3 linked regions of the Macaca mulatta genome follow. The protein of the gene in region 3 purifies or fractionates together with the protein of the main gene of each other region. This does not show direct contact. Links are inferred from orthologs where the notes say so. Each region holds a gene or a part of one and is shown on either strand. Other genes may lie near its edges.

What was found. The genes of interacting proteins can lie anywhere in the genome.
Region 1: the proteins of PRKACB (region 3) and AKAP11 purify together in Homo sapiens (affinity purification with mass spectrometry; 5 studies listed by BioGRID and IntAct, counting the BioPlex papers as one, with this or other methods). This does not show direct contact. The link is inferred for Macaca mulatta from reciprocal best matches to the Homo sapiens genes PRKACB and AKAP11.
Region 2: the proteins of PRKACB (region 3) and AKAP5 purify together in Homo sapiens (affinity purification with mass spectrometry; 4 studies listed by BioGRID and IntAct, counting the BioPlex papers as one, with this or other methods). This does not show direct contact. The link is inferred for Macaca mulatta from reciprocal best matches to the Homo sapiens genes PRKACB and AKAP5.

Annotation. Positions count from the first base shown.
Region 1 is NC_133422.1:21,627,256-21,632,411, reverse strand, and holds the start of AKAP11 (A-kinase anchor protein 11), read right to left. Parts: upstream 3,496-5,156; 5' UTR 3,225-3,495; intron 2,979-3,224; exon of another isoform or gene 2,772-2,978; intron 1-2,771. UniProt on the Homo sapiens protein: Binds to type II regulatory subunits of protein kinase A and anchors/targets them.
Region 2 is NC_133412.1:137,558,058-137,563,213, reverse strand, and holds the start of AKAP5 (A-kinase anchor protein 5), read right to left. Parts: upstream 3,222-5,156; 5' UTR 3,121-3,221; intron 277-3,120; 5' UTR 14-276; coding exon 1-13. UniProt on the Homo sapiens protein: Multivalent scaffold protein that anchors the cAMP-dependent protein kinase/PKA to cytoskeletal and/or organelle-associated proteins, targeting the signal carried by cAMP to specific intracellular effectors.
Region 3 is NC_133406.1:156,357,632-156,362,687, reverse strand, and holds part of PRKACB (cAMP-dependent protein kinase catalytic subunit beta), read left to right. Parts: intron 1-1,223; coding exon 1,224-1,350; intron 1,351-2,335; coding exon 2,336-2,431; intron 2,432-5,056. UniProt on the Homo sapiens protein: Mediates cAMP-dependent signaling triggered by receptor binding to GPCRs.

The DNA of each region.
Region 1 (5,156 bases), on a different chromosome or scaffold from region 3:
CAAAGAATCCTCAAACCATTATAGGAGGTAAAAAAAAAAAAAAAAAATGAGTAAGCAAGTACTATGTGCTTCGCACTAACTTTTTGAGGTGCGTATGAAGAAAATGAGGCTCATTTAATTAACAGACATGACTCCCAAACCCAAACTCTTTACAATATACCTCATTTTCACTCAAGTAACATCCTCTCTGTTCCACGCCTCTACCCCATTTATTTTCTTTCCCAAAAAACATTCTTAGACTATTCTAAAAATGCTAACTTTTCTCCTCTTACCATGTCCAGTCTCTAATCTATAAATTTCAAATGCCTTTACTCCAGTAATTTTTTGTTGTTTGTTTTTTGAGGCAGAGTCTTGCTCAGTCGCCCAGGGTGGAGTGCAGTGGCAAGATCTTGGCTCACTGCAATCTCCATCTCCCAGGCTCAAGCGATTCTTGTGCCTCATCCTCTCGAGTAGCTGGCATTACAGGTGTGTGCCATCACACGCGGCTAATTTTTGTATTTTTTAGCAAAGACAGGGTTTCTCCATGTTGGCCAGGCTGGTCTCGAACTCCTGGTGTCAAGTGATCCACCCGCCTCAGCCTCCTAAATAAAGTCCTGAGATTACAAGCGTAAGGCACCAGGCCTGGCCCAGAAGTAATTTTAAATAAACTTTTATATGTAAGGATGACTGGGAGAATCAAGACATTTGAATCTTTCCAGTCTGTTTTTAAACTGATAAAGCATTTTTCTTTCTCTTACCCATATTACCAGCTTATTGACCCTTAACTCACACCCAGGCTTAACCTAGATCTTCTCTTGACCAGTTCTCACTCTTCAATCCTTCCAGGTAGTTGATTAATAAAATGCAGACAAGACAGGAAAAAAAAAAAAAAATCAGTTACCCTATCCAAAGTTACTTCAATTACTTTTGAAAAACCAAACACCACACACCCTACAAGTTTGAAACCCTTGCCAAAAGGTGATGAAGACCAGCCAAAAAATTTATTTTTCTATTTCTGAAAATTAGTTTGCTAAGATGGAGTGAGAAGAAATTTTTTTCTAATCAACACTGGTCTCCTCTGCCCATTCACAAAGATATATTTTCTACGTTACATTTTTGTCAAGTATAGAGAGAATTCCTCTACCTATTTATAACTGACAATTTCTCTTAAAACGGTCTTTAATATGTTGTCCAAATTGGTTTGAGTTCCTTTTCCAGACAGTAAGTTCCTAAAATTAAAAAATAAAAAAAATTAAAAGTACTATATTTTTTCCGGCCTCTAAAGGCAAAAGAGGACTTCTTCAGCTTCTAGACTTATCCCTGGAGTTCAGGGGGCTAGAGAAGGCTAGAGACTTTCTCACTATGGTTCCATGTCTTAGGCAACTTCCCATATCCTCAACTGCAAAATATCACTGGCCTAGGAGTCCACTGCTAGACCCATATCAATCTCGTCGATAGTGCAGTTATGTGGGTACATACACTAGTCCCTAGTTCAGCTTGGGAACCCACTTCTTCCCTGATTCCCTTACGTTCTTTGACCTTTCATAAATTACTATTACAGCTACAATTAATAGTGACATTCACTGTTCACCCCGGGTCAGTTTTGTCAGGAGGAACAACAACAACAAAAAAAATGAATAATCAGGGTACCATTTGAAAAAGTAAACGTTTAAAAAAAATCATTCAGTTGCACTATTTTAACTGACACCAATCATGTCAGGCACTGGGCTGCCATCCTAAAATCATGACGTTAAAAAAAATTATCTTTGCATTACTGATACCCCATTTTTTCTTAGCACTCCATATTTTGAGTATTTTCAGACATAACGAAATCACAATCAACATGACATTTCTAAAACAGTGGGAAGCAGCTAAGCAAAACGAGCATTTTGCAAGCGATTGAAAAGCTGAAAAGAGAGCAGGAATTAACTCCAGTTTGTACTAAAGCTATTAGATGTGTGTCTCAGCAGTCTCTCTCACCATGAAACTCCTTAACATCTAAAGCTAAACCACAACCAACTTTATATGGTTTTAGAAGACAGAGAAAGCAGAGAAAAAAATGAAAGCTGGTAATACGGGGAAGAGAAAAAATGTTAGCTTTTACTGTCATTGTCATTTACTTTTTTTTTAATACTTCGGTTACATCTACATATTTTTTATAAAGCAGCTTAGATGCCTGGATTAATAGCAGTATACTAAATCCATTCGGAGTACTTTATGGCCAGCCTTAAGCCATTAACAGCCTAGGAGGGTATTTGACAGCAAATGCAAATATCAATACTACGAAGAGCCCCTTGACGCCTTCCGTTTCTGTCATAAGATCTGAGCAGCGCCTGCTTCCAGGGCTCCGGGGTTCTGACAGTGAAGGATGCTGTTCGCGGACAAAGTGCAACGTCCTCCTTCTGCTGCAAATGTTCCTGTGCGCACACCACGTACCCGGGGGACCGTCTCTAAAGACCACCCCGTGGATTTAAACAGCCTGTCATTAAAAGCGGCGGCAGCTCCACCGCCACACTCGGGACCCCAGGAAGACCCGTCTCGAGACCGAGCACCTCCCTCTACTCTGGGCCCGGTGCCTTGGGTTTCCTCCCTCGGCCGCGCTCCTCCCGCCCTCCTCCCTCCGCCATGCGAAGGCGCAGCTCTCGGGCGGCCCCGAAGACAGAAGAGGGACCACGGGCCGGCGGAGGGGCTGGGGCGCCGGAGCCGGGCCGCTCCATCCATGCCGGCCGCATACCTGCCGCCACCCCATCTAACCGCAGCCTCCGCGGCAAACGCGTCGGAGCCCGGCTCACCTGGGGGCCGCAGCCTCCGCAGCTCATGGACATGTCACCGGCCGCAACGACCCGTGAGCGAGCCGGGCGAGCAGGCTGGCCCCCTCCCGCGTCGGCCCCCAGCCCTCCCCCCTCCCAGCCCCGCGGCCCGCCCCCGCCCTGCCCACCCCTCGGCTTCCGCCGCCGCCGCCGCCGCCGCAGCTCCGGCCCGCAACACCGCCTACTCTCCACGCCTCCCACTCACTCTCGCGAGAGGGCAGCGCGCCTCTCGCGAGAAGAACTCCGCAGCCGAGCCCGCGCAAAAGTGAGTGGGCGTTTAAAAAGGGAAAGAAGGAACAGGAAAAAAAGCCTTCCCACGTGCTCCGGAGCAGCTAGCGGAGCAGCCCCGCTGATCACATGATTTAAAGGGGGCCTCTCCATTGGCCGGGACCCGCTCAGCCTTGGGAGCTTTAAATTCGAGGGCGACCTACGAACCTGCGGCGGACGTCTTGCGTGCTTCCTGGTCCGTTGCCTTGGAAACGGCTTAACCCTTTCCTCTGGCAAGTCCCCAGGCCTTGGCTTGCTCCGCAGATTTGGTTTCAGGCTCTGCCTCTTTTCCGTCGACCCCTTAGTCTTACAGCCTGGGGCCAGCTGGGCTCCTTCTTCGCCACAAGGCTAGTTTTGCTTTCTTCCGAAGCCCCGGGCCCTTCCCTAAGTGGCAGCCCCACCAGATCCGAAGGCCCAAGGAAGGCTCATCCTTTCTGATGACTCCACCCCTTTTCCCAGCATCTCCAGGGAGGACCACTCACAGCGCACAGGGCAACCGGCCCTATCCCAGCCAAGAAGTAGCACCCAGGGTTCTCAGGGCCCTAGTGCTCACCCTGATGTCTTTACATGGTATGGAAATCGGAAACTAAAGCTTTGGTCACTGGGAATCCTAACCAGAGATGAAAAGCTGTTGTGCTGATTATTTTCACCTAAAATCCGAAGGGCCAGTATTGCCCTGTCTCCTTAAGGGCATCTGTTCCTCAAGAGTGGAAACACCTGGCAATAAAAAAGACATTTTTGAGTGTATCCTCATTATGAGTTAAGTTTTGCCCTGTTGAGAGGAGAGGGTCAGGGAAGAAAGGGTGCAATTCATTTGTTCATTTCTTCATTCAACAAACACTACTCCAGGCTTTGTCCATTGAACATCATTGTCCATTGAACAATGATGAAGATAAGTAGTGTAGATTCTAGGGAACTTATCTGAGGATGAAAAGAAAACAAAATATCTGTTGGTTTTAAAATGTATGTAAAGAAGTTACAATAAGTGACGTGATGGTGATTGAGTGGCTAGTAAAGGGGCTGCCCTTTTGAGGAGGAGACATTTTAGCAGCGATTTGAATAACAGTCATGCAAAAATCAGAGCGTACAGCATTCCAGGAAAAGGATAACACTAATTCAAAGGCCCTAAGTAAGGACCTGTTCTAGTGCATTTGAGGGAAGAATAAATGAGAAAGTAAACTTTATTGAGCCTGGAGATGGAAACTGTAAGAGTTAAAGAAACAGAAAAGGCAGCTTAACAGAGACAGGTTTATTTTGGAGAATAAACCTGAGAGGGTCTTCTGGCCAATTTCAGTCAGTAGTGTTCTCTCTTACAGACTAAAGGTATTTAGCGGTTGAGGGAGGGAGAGCATATTGCAGGCTTGGAATGTTTCTGGGTGGAGGAGGGTTTTATTGCTGGGGGTTTAATGTCTCTGGTTGGAGGGGAGGCATATTTCTGATCAGAGGGGGGTTTATCTCAGGGTTGGAATATTTCTCATCAGAGGTGTCATTTGTGGTTTATGGTCATGATGACATTAGGCTGATGTTTCTGGGGCTGGATTTAGGCAGTTTTTAATCAAGGGGAACTTAAAATGGTGGTGCTTGTCCAAGATGGAGATGTTCTTGCTGAGTCAGAAACTAGCATGGATCAGATCCTGTAAGGCTTTGTTAGCCAAGAAAGGAATTGAAAGTTTATTCTAAATGCAATAGAAGGTATTAGAAAGTTTTTAATAGGGGAGAGACACCCAGAGTTTACTTTAAAAAAAAAAAGTCTCTTCCTTGAAAATAATGGGTCTTAAAGAGGCCAAAGCAGAAGCAAAGATTAGGAGATTTATAGGCCAGGTGGGAGACAGTCATGAAATTTAATTTCCAATGATCTTAACATTTCTAAACTTCATTAGGTCAGAGTCCTGATGCTGTTTCTGCCTTTGTTGAAACACGTGGATTGCTCCTAATTACTAGGAAAAATAAAATGGAGAATTTTCTTTTGTAACCTGGGGGAAAACAAATGGCTGAAAAGGAAGGGCCCATCTTTAATTTTTTTCCCTCCATTACGCTACACTGACAACCACCTCTTCTGTCTATTCTTAAAGTCAGTTCTAAGAAGAGAACAGAAAATGA
Region 2 (5,156 bases), on a different chromosome or scaffold from region 3:
CTGTGGTTTCCATTTTTACACTGTACTCTTATTCTCTAGAAAACTATATTCTCTCTTCCTTAGCAGCCTTTTGTGACAAAAAGATGGGCAAAAATGTCACACTAGGTAAAATTTCATCCAGGCATATTCATACCTTTCATCTTACTCCATACAGTTGTTTTAGGTGGTTTCTCTAGTATAGAAATGCCCAGTTTCTCTATTGCTTGTAATTTCTCTCTTTAATTTCTTGATGAAAGCCCTTTCTTGAATAAATTTTTGCTTTATTTAAAGATCAACCTGATGAGAGAAAAGAAAGTGGTATTTTATTTCACTATGAGCCTATTATTTTCTATGGAGACTATTTCAGCTGAATGTATAAGATTCTACCAGGCATATTTTCCATATAATAATGAAATGACTGGAGAATAAACGTTGGGGTTTACTTTGGCCCTATTAAAGAGTTCAATGTGGTTCTATTGTTTTATCCTCTTTGTTGAAACTTCATTTTGGATTACCCTGCAAGTCTGATATTATTAGTTCTTTAGTTGTGTTGTCTGTGTGAATTGCTTATGGCTCTAAAGTGCAAATTAAGCAAACAACAGGAAGAACAAAAAATGAAGTGCAGGATGAAAAACAAGCTAATGTATTTTTTATCACACTCAATAAATAATTTTAAAGCTGCAAAGGACTTTAGAGATTATTTGAGATTACTCAAATCCAGCCAGATGACAAAACTGAACTCCAGAGGGGAGCAATTGTCTTGTTAAAAGCCATGCAGCTAGATAAGGTCATAGCCAGAGTTAGAACTAGAGACTTTGACTCTCTAGTTTTTCCATTATAACATAAGGTTTCTGTTCTAAAAATGTATGTTCCATCAAGGAAGTGCTACTTTTCATACATATTCTTAGGAAAATTTAGCATTACTGTCATTTCCCACTCTTAAATTAGTTGTATAATTTTGACATTTTCATTTAAGTACTGTATTTGCTGTATCACATGTTTCCACCATAATCTGCACATAGTTGGAGGTCAGTAAGAGTAACAATAGCTGACATTTATTGAGCAATTCTTGGGTATTAGGCGGTGCACACACTTTTACATACATCTGTAATCCTCACCACAGTATTACAAAGATGGTGGTATCACCATCTACAGATGAAGCAATTTGGCTGAGATTAAGGCAGAGCTGTAACAGAGCTCAGATTAAACAAAAGATTGCTTGTTGCTTAAAGCTTATGTTCTGAAACTGGGCTTTAAGAGTTTCATCAGAAAATGGATTGTTTGGGGATACTAATCTGCAGTATATTCATTAGTAAAAAAATTTAAAAATTGATTAATGGTCATTTAATCACAAGGCACTTATCAACTCATAATTGAACCAAGAGTAGTCTGAGTTCTTGTTATTTGAAAACCAAGCTTTTGAAATTCTTTAAGCCGGGCACGGTGGCTCAAGCCTGTAATCCCAGCACTTTGGGAGGCTGAGACGGGCGGATCACAAGGTCAGGAGATCGAGACCATCCTGGCTAACACGGTGAAACCCCGTCTCTACTAAAAAATACAAAAAACTAGCCGGGCGAGGTGGCGGGCGCCTGTGGTCCCAGCTACTCCGGAGGCTGAGGCAGGAGAATGGCGTAAACCCGGGAGGCGGAGCTTGCAGTGAGCTGAGATCCGGCCACTGCACTCCAGCCTGGGCGACAGAGCCAGATTCAGTCTCAAAAAAAAAAAAAAAAAGAAATTCTTTATATTTTGCTTTTTCGGTTCAGGAACTAATTTAACAGCCAAAAATAGGTTGATAAACTATGCAATTGGCAAACTGTTAGATAATACAAAGGTGTATTGAAAATTTAATCCTCAGAATGGTATGATGGTACCAAAGAATGGAAATGGGAAGTGATTATCTAACAAAGATCCTATGAATTTTAGTGGGTGGATGCCCTAAAATAAGCAAAGGGACTCATTCTTTATATTGTTTTTATGTAAATCCTTCACTGAAGTTTCATGTGGGTAACCCATAATTTTATGAACTGTGGAAAGAACTGGAACCCTGAAAATCAGTTTATGATCTAAGTAAATATTCTCTTAGGTTGGGTGTTTCATACTGTATGCCTCTAACAGAAAGATAAAGTCATTCTAGAACAATGACGGAACTAAAATATGGACATTTGACAGTGTTTCTCCTCACATTTATATTTCAGTGAGCACTAGAACCTCAGCTGATAACTCTGTTTAAATCTTCTCACCTCTTGTGAGTTTTCAACACCTGAGCACTTTTGTTAAGCAGAGGCTGTATTACCACATAATAGAAATATTGAAATGAGATGTTCAGGAGTGTATCATTTGAAACTAACGTGGATTGCGCAAAGACAATGGTTTGAGAAGCTCACTTGAATGTGTCTCACACACTAGAAATAAAACGAATGCCCAAACAGAAACTTAACTGAAGGGGGAAAATAATGCAGTCTGTAGACATTAAAACTTTGCAGAATGTCAGACTGCAAAGGATTCGCTCTTAACCAGCAAGGGTAGCTTTATCGCCTCAGGAAATCTTAAAGTCCCTGTGCTCATTTCCTGATAGAATTTCAAGTCTCATGTCACAGAAAACACTCCCTTTCCTTTTTCCCTTAAGCAGCAAAGAACATCCACTACCCGAGGAAAGCAATGCATCTTTCCCAGCACCAGATATGGACCACGAAGGTTCCTCCTGGAGGAAGGAATCTCGAATTCTAGCTTGACGCCCCTTATGGCAGGAGACAGAGCGCAGGATAAAGTACTCAAAAAGGAAAATGCCGGGGGCGTGGAACAGATAACCCAGCTTCAAGCTGTCTGCAGAATTATAATGTAATGGCCAGAAACCCAGAATCACATTTCGCAAAGAGGGATAAAGAAGGAAAAAAGCCACCGGCAACCCATGCTTCTAAGACAAGCTGTAACGCGAAGGTGATAGGTGGGCAGACCTGATGAGGGTCGTCCTGGCCGCGGATTCCTGCGGACAAGCGACCTCCCGCGTTCTTACTCCCAGCACCTCAGGGGGCTCACATCCCCCATGTCCAGTGGGCGCCTCTTGCCCACTCCGCGGTCCGCTGACCGGACACTGCCCCCGACCCTCCTCTCCAGCAGGCTCCCCGCCCTGCCTTTACTCACGTAGGGCGTCGGGGTCCTTGGCCAACACTGTTCCCAAGGTGGCGGCGCGCTCGCGGGGCCCGGCGCCCAGGCCTCCAGGGAGCCGAAGCAAGGCGCCCTCTGCAGAGCCCGCCGCCGGGTGCGCCCCCTCCCCACCGCGCGGGGACAGACAGCCCGCAGAGCCAATGCGAGCGGAGCGGAGCCGAGCGGGCGGGCAGGGGCGTGGCGACGCGGGAGGCGGGGGGCGGCACGGAAGCCGGGACCCACCTGCAGCAGCAGCCTGCCTGCCGCGGGGAAGGCCACCGTGCTCCGCCTGGGCGCCAATCTCCGCCGCCAGACTACATTATCGCCGAGGCGGGGACCGCGAGAGCCAGCCGAAGGCTCGGGGAGGGGTGGGGGGCGGAGGGAAGGCGGGGAGCGGCCAGGGCAATGAACCCCGCGTTTCTGAGACGCTAAATGGTGAGGTCCAGTTTCAAATTATAGACAGTCCTGTTACACATGTCCTCTCCTCCCCCTCAGAATATTTAAAGACAAGGCAGACATCGCATTTTAAAAGCAGGATTCAAAACTGTGTATGGAATAGCGAGGTCATTTTTGTTTGAAGCGAAAATTACATATAGAAATGGAAACAGAAAGAAACCCGACTTTCTCAGGAGTGACTTGAGTATAAGATCATCGTAGGCCGGGCGCGGTGGCTCAAGGCTGTAATCCCAGCACTTTGGGAGGCGGAGACGGGCGGATCACGAGGTCAGGAGATTGAGACCATCCTGGCTAACACGGTGAAACCCCGTCTCTACTAAAAAATACAGCCGGGCGCGGTGGCTCAAGCCTGTAATCCCAGCACTTTGGGAGGCCGAGGCGGGTGGATCACGAGGTCAGGAGATCGAGACCATCCTGGCTAACACGGTGAAACCCCGTCTCTACTAAAAATACAAAAAACTAGCCGGGCGTGGTGGCGGGCGCCTGTAGTCCCAGCTACTCGGAGGCTGAGGCAGGAGAATGGCGTGAACCCGGGAGGCGGAGCTTGCAGTGAGCCGAGATCGCGCCACTGCACTCCAGCCTGGGCGACACAGCGAGACTCCGTCTCAAAAAAAAAAAAAAAAAAAAAAAAAAAAAAAAAATACAAAAAAAAAGTAGCCGGGCGAGGTGGTGGGCGCCTGTAGTCCCAGCTACTCGGGAGGCTGAGGCAGGAGAATGGCGTAAACCCGGGAGGCGGAGCTTGCAGTGAGCTGAGATCCGGCCACTGCACTCCAGCCTGGGCGACACAGCGAGACTCCGTCTCAAAAAAAAAAAAAAAAAAAGATCATCGTGGTTCATCGCTAAACAGGCTCTCAGACCTTTGTCTCCCAGTGGGAAGCAGGTGGAGGTGATTCGTGCAGAACTTTGGCCTGCAGGAGCAGCTGCATCTCTATGCGGACAAGGCGAGAAAGGCACAGCAACCCAGCTCCATCCATCTTATATCTTACATAGTTCCAAAAATAAGTTGAGGTAGCTTACAAGTTACCCATGATTCCCTTCAGGACATTCCCTATGAGGGCATTCCTGGGAGCTCCAGCTGTAAAATCCAGTAGGATCCATCACAATCCCAGCCTGCTCCTCAGGCCCTCACAGCATAGCATCCAGATGAAGAACCTGGTAAGGTGCAGTGAAGAACTACTGAAAAGCAGCCGCGTTCATCTCCTTTCTTCAAGAGGATCACGATCTTAGGGAGTGTAGATGTCAGGTGTCCATTTTTGTATGTTTTTTTGGAAATGTTTTATATTTGTAAGGTTCCATAGTTTCCACATAGGCTTATCACGGAAAGAACTCTTGGGACACAAAAGCAAAGCCAAATATAAACAAACTGTCAAGATCTTAAATTTACAGATAAAAGAGGCAAGAGTTGTAAAACAGGAAAATCCACAAGCATCTAGTTTAGTTGTAATTAAGAATTCGGGGCCGGGTGCAGTGGCTCACACCTGTAATCCCGGCACTTTGGGAAGCCAAGGCAGGAGGATGGCTTGAGTCCAAGAGTTTGAGACCAGCCTTGGCAACATAGGGAGACAAAAAAAATTTAA
Region 3 (5,056 bases):
GAAAATAAGAGGGGACCTCCCAGGTCAAATGTTTCCCAGTTTAAGCATAAATGTTGCAATGACCAGAATGATTATTTTAATCTCTGCTTACAATGTTCTCCTCATTCCTTGTCATTTGGCATACAATGCAGATTGACAGTGTTGGGATGAAGCAGAAACTGGAAGGGTATTATAGAATTTTGCTCCCCAAAAGCATTTTTCTTTACATATGCATTATTTCAACAAATATTTACTGAGCACTTGGGAAATGCAGTGACAAGCAAAAAAGGCAGCACATATAATCTTTTGTTGGAATTTGTATTTCTGTTACTACTAGATCAAATTCATACCAACCATCTTGAGGGAAATTCTATTCATAGTTAAGGTTGTTGTTCACTGAGGAAACAAATCTGAAAGGCATTGCAATTTATCAGGCAGATTAGTAGAATTCAAGTAATGCATTAGAAGATAAATTAGAAACTCAGAAAATTGGTATATCCTTTTGAATTTTTCAGATTGTGACATCAAAATTACACTGATCTATTAATCTAATATATACATTAAAGAACTGTACATATTTACACTAACATAGAGATTATTCTTATGTCTAGCTATGTAAACAAGCATAGTAGAAGATTTGGAAATCCTGATGCCAAGGTCGTTTCTATGGTTTCTGAATGGGATTATGAGTATTCATCCTTCTTCATCGATATTTTATGATATTTTTCCATAATGAACACATGTCATTTTGTAACAGGAACTATTACAAAATGGGTAAAATGGCATTAATCTGCAGATAAATGCAGCTAAAGAACTTCTATGTAGGGAAATTCTATGAACTCTTGAAATTTGTGAGAAAAGTAGATGGAGCCACTATAGCAGTGGCCCCGATAGACACTTCAATTGGCACATTTGCTTTTCAGTCATTCTCAAGATCAGACATAATTAGAAAGACATCAATATATTCAAATATAGGCTATAATGATTCACAGTGAGATAACTATTTTAGGTTTATATTTTTCCTCAACGTGTGCTTCCCCATAAATTTATCAGAATGTTATTTGAACACAATATAGAGATTTAATAAATATTTGAAAAGTAACAAAATTCTTTACATACATTTTTTTAAAAATACTTTTTGTTCCCAAAGTACCTCTACTTCATATTGGTTTTTATGTATAATCTACTAATTAGAATGTATTAACTCATTTTTACAGAAAATCAATGTTTTTATTTCTTTGCAGTGAACCCCATGCCCGGTTCTATGCAGCTCAGATAGTGCTAACATTCGAGTACCTCCATTCACTAGACCTCATCTACAGAGATCTAAAACCTGAAAATCTCTTAATTGACCATCAAGGCTATATCCAGGTATGACTTTAACACATTCTGTATAATGTATTTGAGAAAATACTAGGCAAGACATTGTATGTATGTAAGCCCAACCTGGATTTTTTTTTGAAGAAGACAATTATTCCTAACAGTTTAAGTAGAGCTCAGAGTTTCGCTGCTATTACAGAGAAGCAAAAATCCTATTATGAAAGGAACTTGTTTGTATCTCCCTTAATCTATAGCTGTGAACTGAGTATAGCCTCTTGCATAAGGAGATATTAATAGCTAAATCTGTGAGCAGTTATTACTGCCAGGCATATTCCAGGTGTTTTACATGTATTATTTCTTTAATCCTGATAAACCTATGAAGTAGAAATACCACTGTTATCTTCATTTTAAGATTAACAAAACTAAGGCATGGCAAGGTCATTTAGCCAGTAAATGGTAGTCAGAATTTGAACCTAGGCAGTCTGATCCCAGAGTCCATGCCCTTTACGACTACAATATAACTGCCAAAGGATCCCTGACTACCAATACTGAACTTGTAGAAACATTTTCTTTTCACTTCTACTACTAATAAAGTGGGAGCATTTCTTTTTACACAATTATCAATAGATTCTCCCATTGACATTTTTACACTTCTGATGGTGCAATTAATGGCAGAGGACATATTGGGGTAAGGCAGACATTTAGCATTGTTTCATTTTTATTAATGCTATTTATTTTTACCTTTTATTTTCACTTTTTTATTCCTTGGGTCTAGGATCTTATAATAATGACTGAAAAGGGTTTTGTTGTTATTAATTTGTTCCTTTTCTTTGTGTTGAGGAAGGATTTCCAACTTGGAGTGTTTAAACCTTCATTCACTAACTATTCATTAATGAATTTCAATTACATGGACTTAATTATTTTTTCAGTTTCTTTCATAGTTTCAATTTGAATTTTAAACTTTCAATTTAGGTTCAATAAACACATTTATTGTGAGGTAATACATTTTCACTAATATTTTTTTTTTCTTTTATAGGTCACAGACTTTGGGTTTGCCAAAAGAGTTAAAGGCAGAACTTGGACATTATGTGGAACTCCAGAGTATTTGGCTCCAGAAATAATTCTCAGCAAGGTATATTCATAATATCAATACGTAAGAGGTAGAAATATGAGTCATGCATCCCTATGGACTTTTGTAAAAAGTTTATTGATCTAATTTTACAGTTTTAATTTGATCTGAGTTATGAATTTAAATCTATTTGTGCATGATTACTAAAGAATTACTATTTAGCATCTACCACTAATCCTAAACCTCTGTCAATTTTAACTCTGGGTCTTAGAGAAATAATATGAATAAATATGACCTCTAGATCCATGTTTGGCAACCAAAAACATAGTCTTTTCTTAATTATTCCTAGTAACAGGAGGGTAGAGAAGACTTGCTCTGGATTATACCAAGAGGTAAATCTAGAGATGATATGTACTAGTTGTCCATTCTTTCTTTTTCAAATTTACCAGTTGAATAAAAGGAATGTATGAGAAGTGTTTTTAAATTTTAAATAGGACTATTAACAGCAATTGAATAGTTTTAGTTGTATTGAAGGCAGCTCTACTTTTCTAAATAGTGAAATGTGGTGAGAGAAACTGTACCTATATCTAAAAGAATGGTTAACTTTTCCTCTGCCATCTCTTGGTGGAGAAATCTAGAAAGGAGAACCTAACAATAACCAGGCACAAATAGGCGAGAGGAAAAGGAAGGGAATAAGACACATGCTTCAGTGGTTCCCAAATGGGATCATTGAAATATGGCTAACCTATAGAAGGGTTAAAATAAAAGATTTCTTTCAAGTTTTCTCTCATTATCTTTTGTAATTTAAATAATGTATAACTTCTTGATATTTTATAATCTAAATATCATTGCAGTTAACACATTTCTTTAAATACAGTTAACAAATAATGTGACAACAAAATGAGCACTAAAACTTTTACAAATGTGTATATATTGTAAAAGTAATACTCATTATACAAAATTTAGAAAATACAGAAAAACATAAAGAAACAACCAAAAAAACCTATATGTAATCCCACCAACCTAGAGGCAGCCTTTTTAAAAACATTCATATATATATGTACATTTTAGCTTTTATTTTAGGTTTGGAGTTACATGTGAAGGTTTGTTACATAGGTAAACTCATGTCATGGGGGTTTGTTGTACAGATTATTTCATCACTCAGGAATTAAGCCCAATACCCATAGTTATCTTTCTTATCCTCTCCCTCCTCCCTACCTCCACTCTCAAGTAGAATCCAACGTCTGTTTTTTCCTTCGTTGTCTTCATAAATTCTCATCATTTAGCTCCCACTTATAAGTGAAAACATGTGGTATTTAGTTTTCTGTTCCTGCATTAGTTTGCTGAGGATGATAGCCTCCAGCTCCATCCATGTTCATGCAAAAGACATGATCTCATTCCTTTTTATAGCTTTATAGTATTCCATAGTATATATGTACCACATTTTCTTTATCTAGTCTACAATTGATGGACATGTAGGTTGATTCCATGTCTTTGCTATTGTGAATAGTTCCACAATGAATAAACAAATGCATGTGTCTTTATGATGGAATGATTTATAATCCTCTGAGTATATACCCAGTAGTGGGATTGCTGGGTCGAATGGTAGTTCTGCTTTTAACTCTTTGAGGAATCTCCATACTGCTTTCCACAATGGTTGAACTAATTTACACTCCTACCAACAGTGTCTAAGGGTTCACTTTTCTCTGCAACCTTGCCAGCATCTGTTATTTTTTGACTATTTATTTATTTTGAAGATGGAGTCTCGCTCTGTCACCCAGGCTATAGTGCAGTGTCATGATCTCGGCTCACTGCAACCTCTGCCTCCTGAGTTCAAGCGATTCTCCTGCCTCAGGCTCCCAAGTAGGTGGGACTACAGGCATGCACCACCACATCCAGCTAATTTTTGTATTTTTTGGTAGACACGGGGTTTCACCATATTGGCCAGGCTGGTCTTGAACTCCCGACCTCAAGTGATCCACCCTCCTCGGCCTCCCATAGTTCTGGGATTACAGGTGTGAGCCACTGCGCCCTACCATTTTTTGACTTTTTAATAATAGCCATTCTGACTGGTGTGGAATGGTATCTCATTATGGTTTTGACTTGCTTGCATTTCTCTAATGATAAGTGATATTGAGCATTTTTTCATATCTTTGTTGGCCACGTGTATGTCTTCTTTTGGAAAGTGTCAGTTCATGTCCTTTGCCCACCTTTTCATGGGGTTGTTTGTTTCTTGTAAATTTGTTTAAGATCCGCATAGATGCTGGATATTAGACTTTTGGCAGGTGCATAGTTTGCAAATATTTTCTCCCATTCTGTAGGTTCTCTGTTTACCATTGATAGTTTCTTTTGCTGTGCAGAATCTCTTCAGTTTAATTAGATCCCACTTGACAGTGTTTGCTGTTGTTGGAATTGCTTTTGGTATCTTTGTCATGAAACCTTTGTCCATTCCTATGTCCAGAATGGCATTGCCTAGGTTATCTTCCAAGGTTTTTATACTTTGGGGTTTTGCATTTAAGTCTTTAATCAATCTTGAGCTGATTTTTGTATATGGTATAAGGAAGGGGTCTATCGTCAGTCTTCTGCATATGGCTAGCCACTTATCCCAGCACCATTTATTGAATAGGGAATCTTTTCCCTATTGCTTGGTTTTGTCAGCTTTGTCAAAGATCAGGTGGTCGTAGGTGT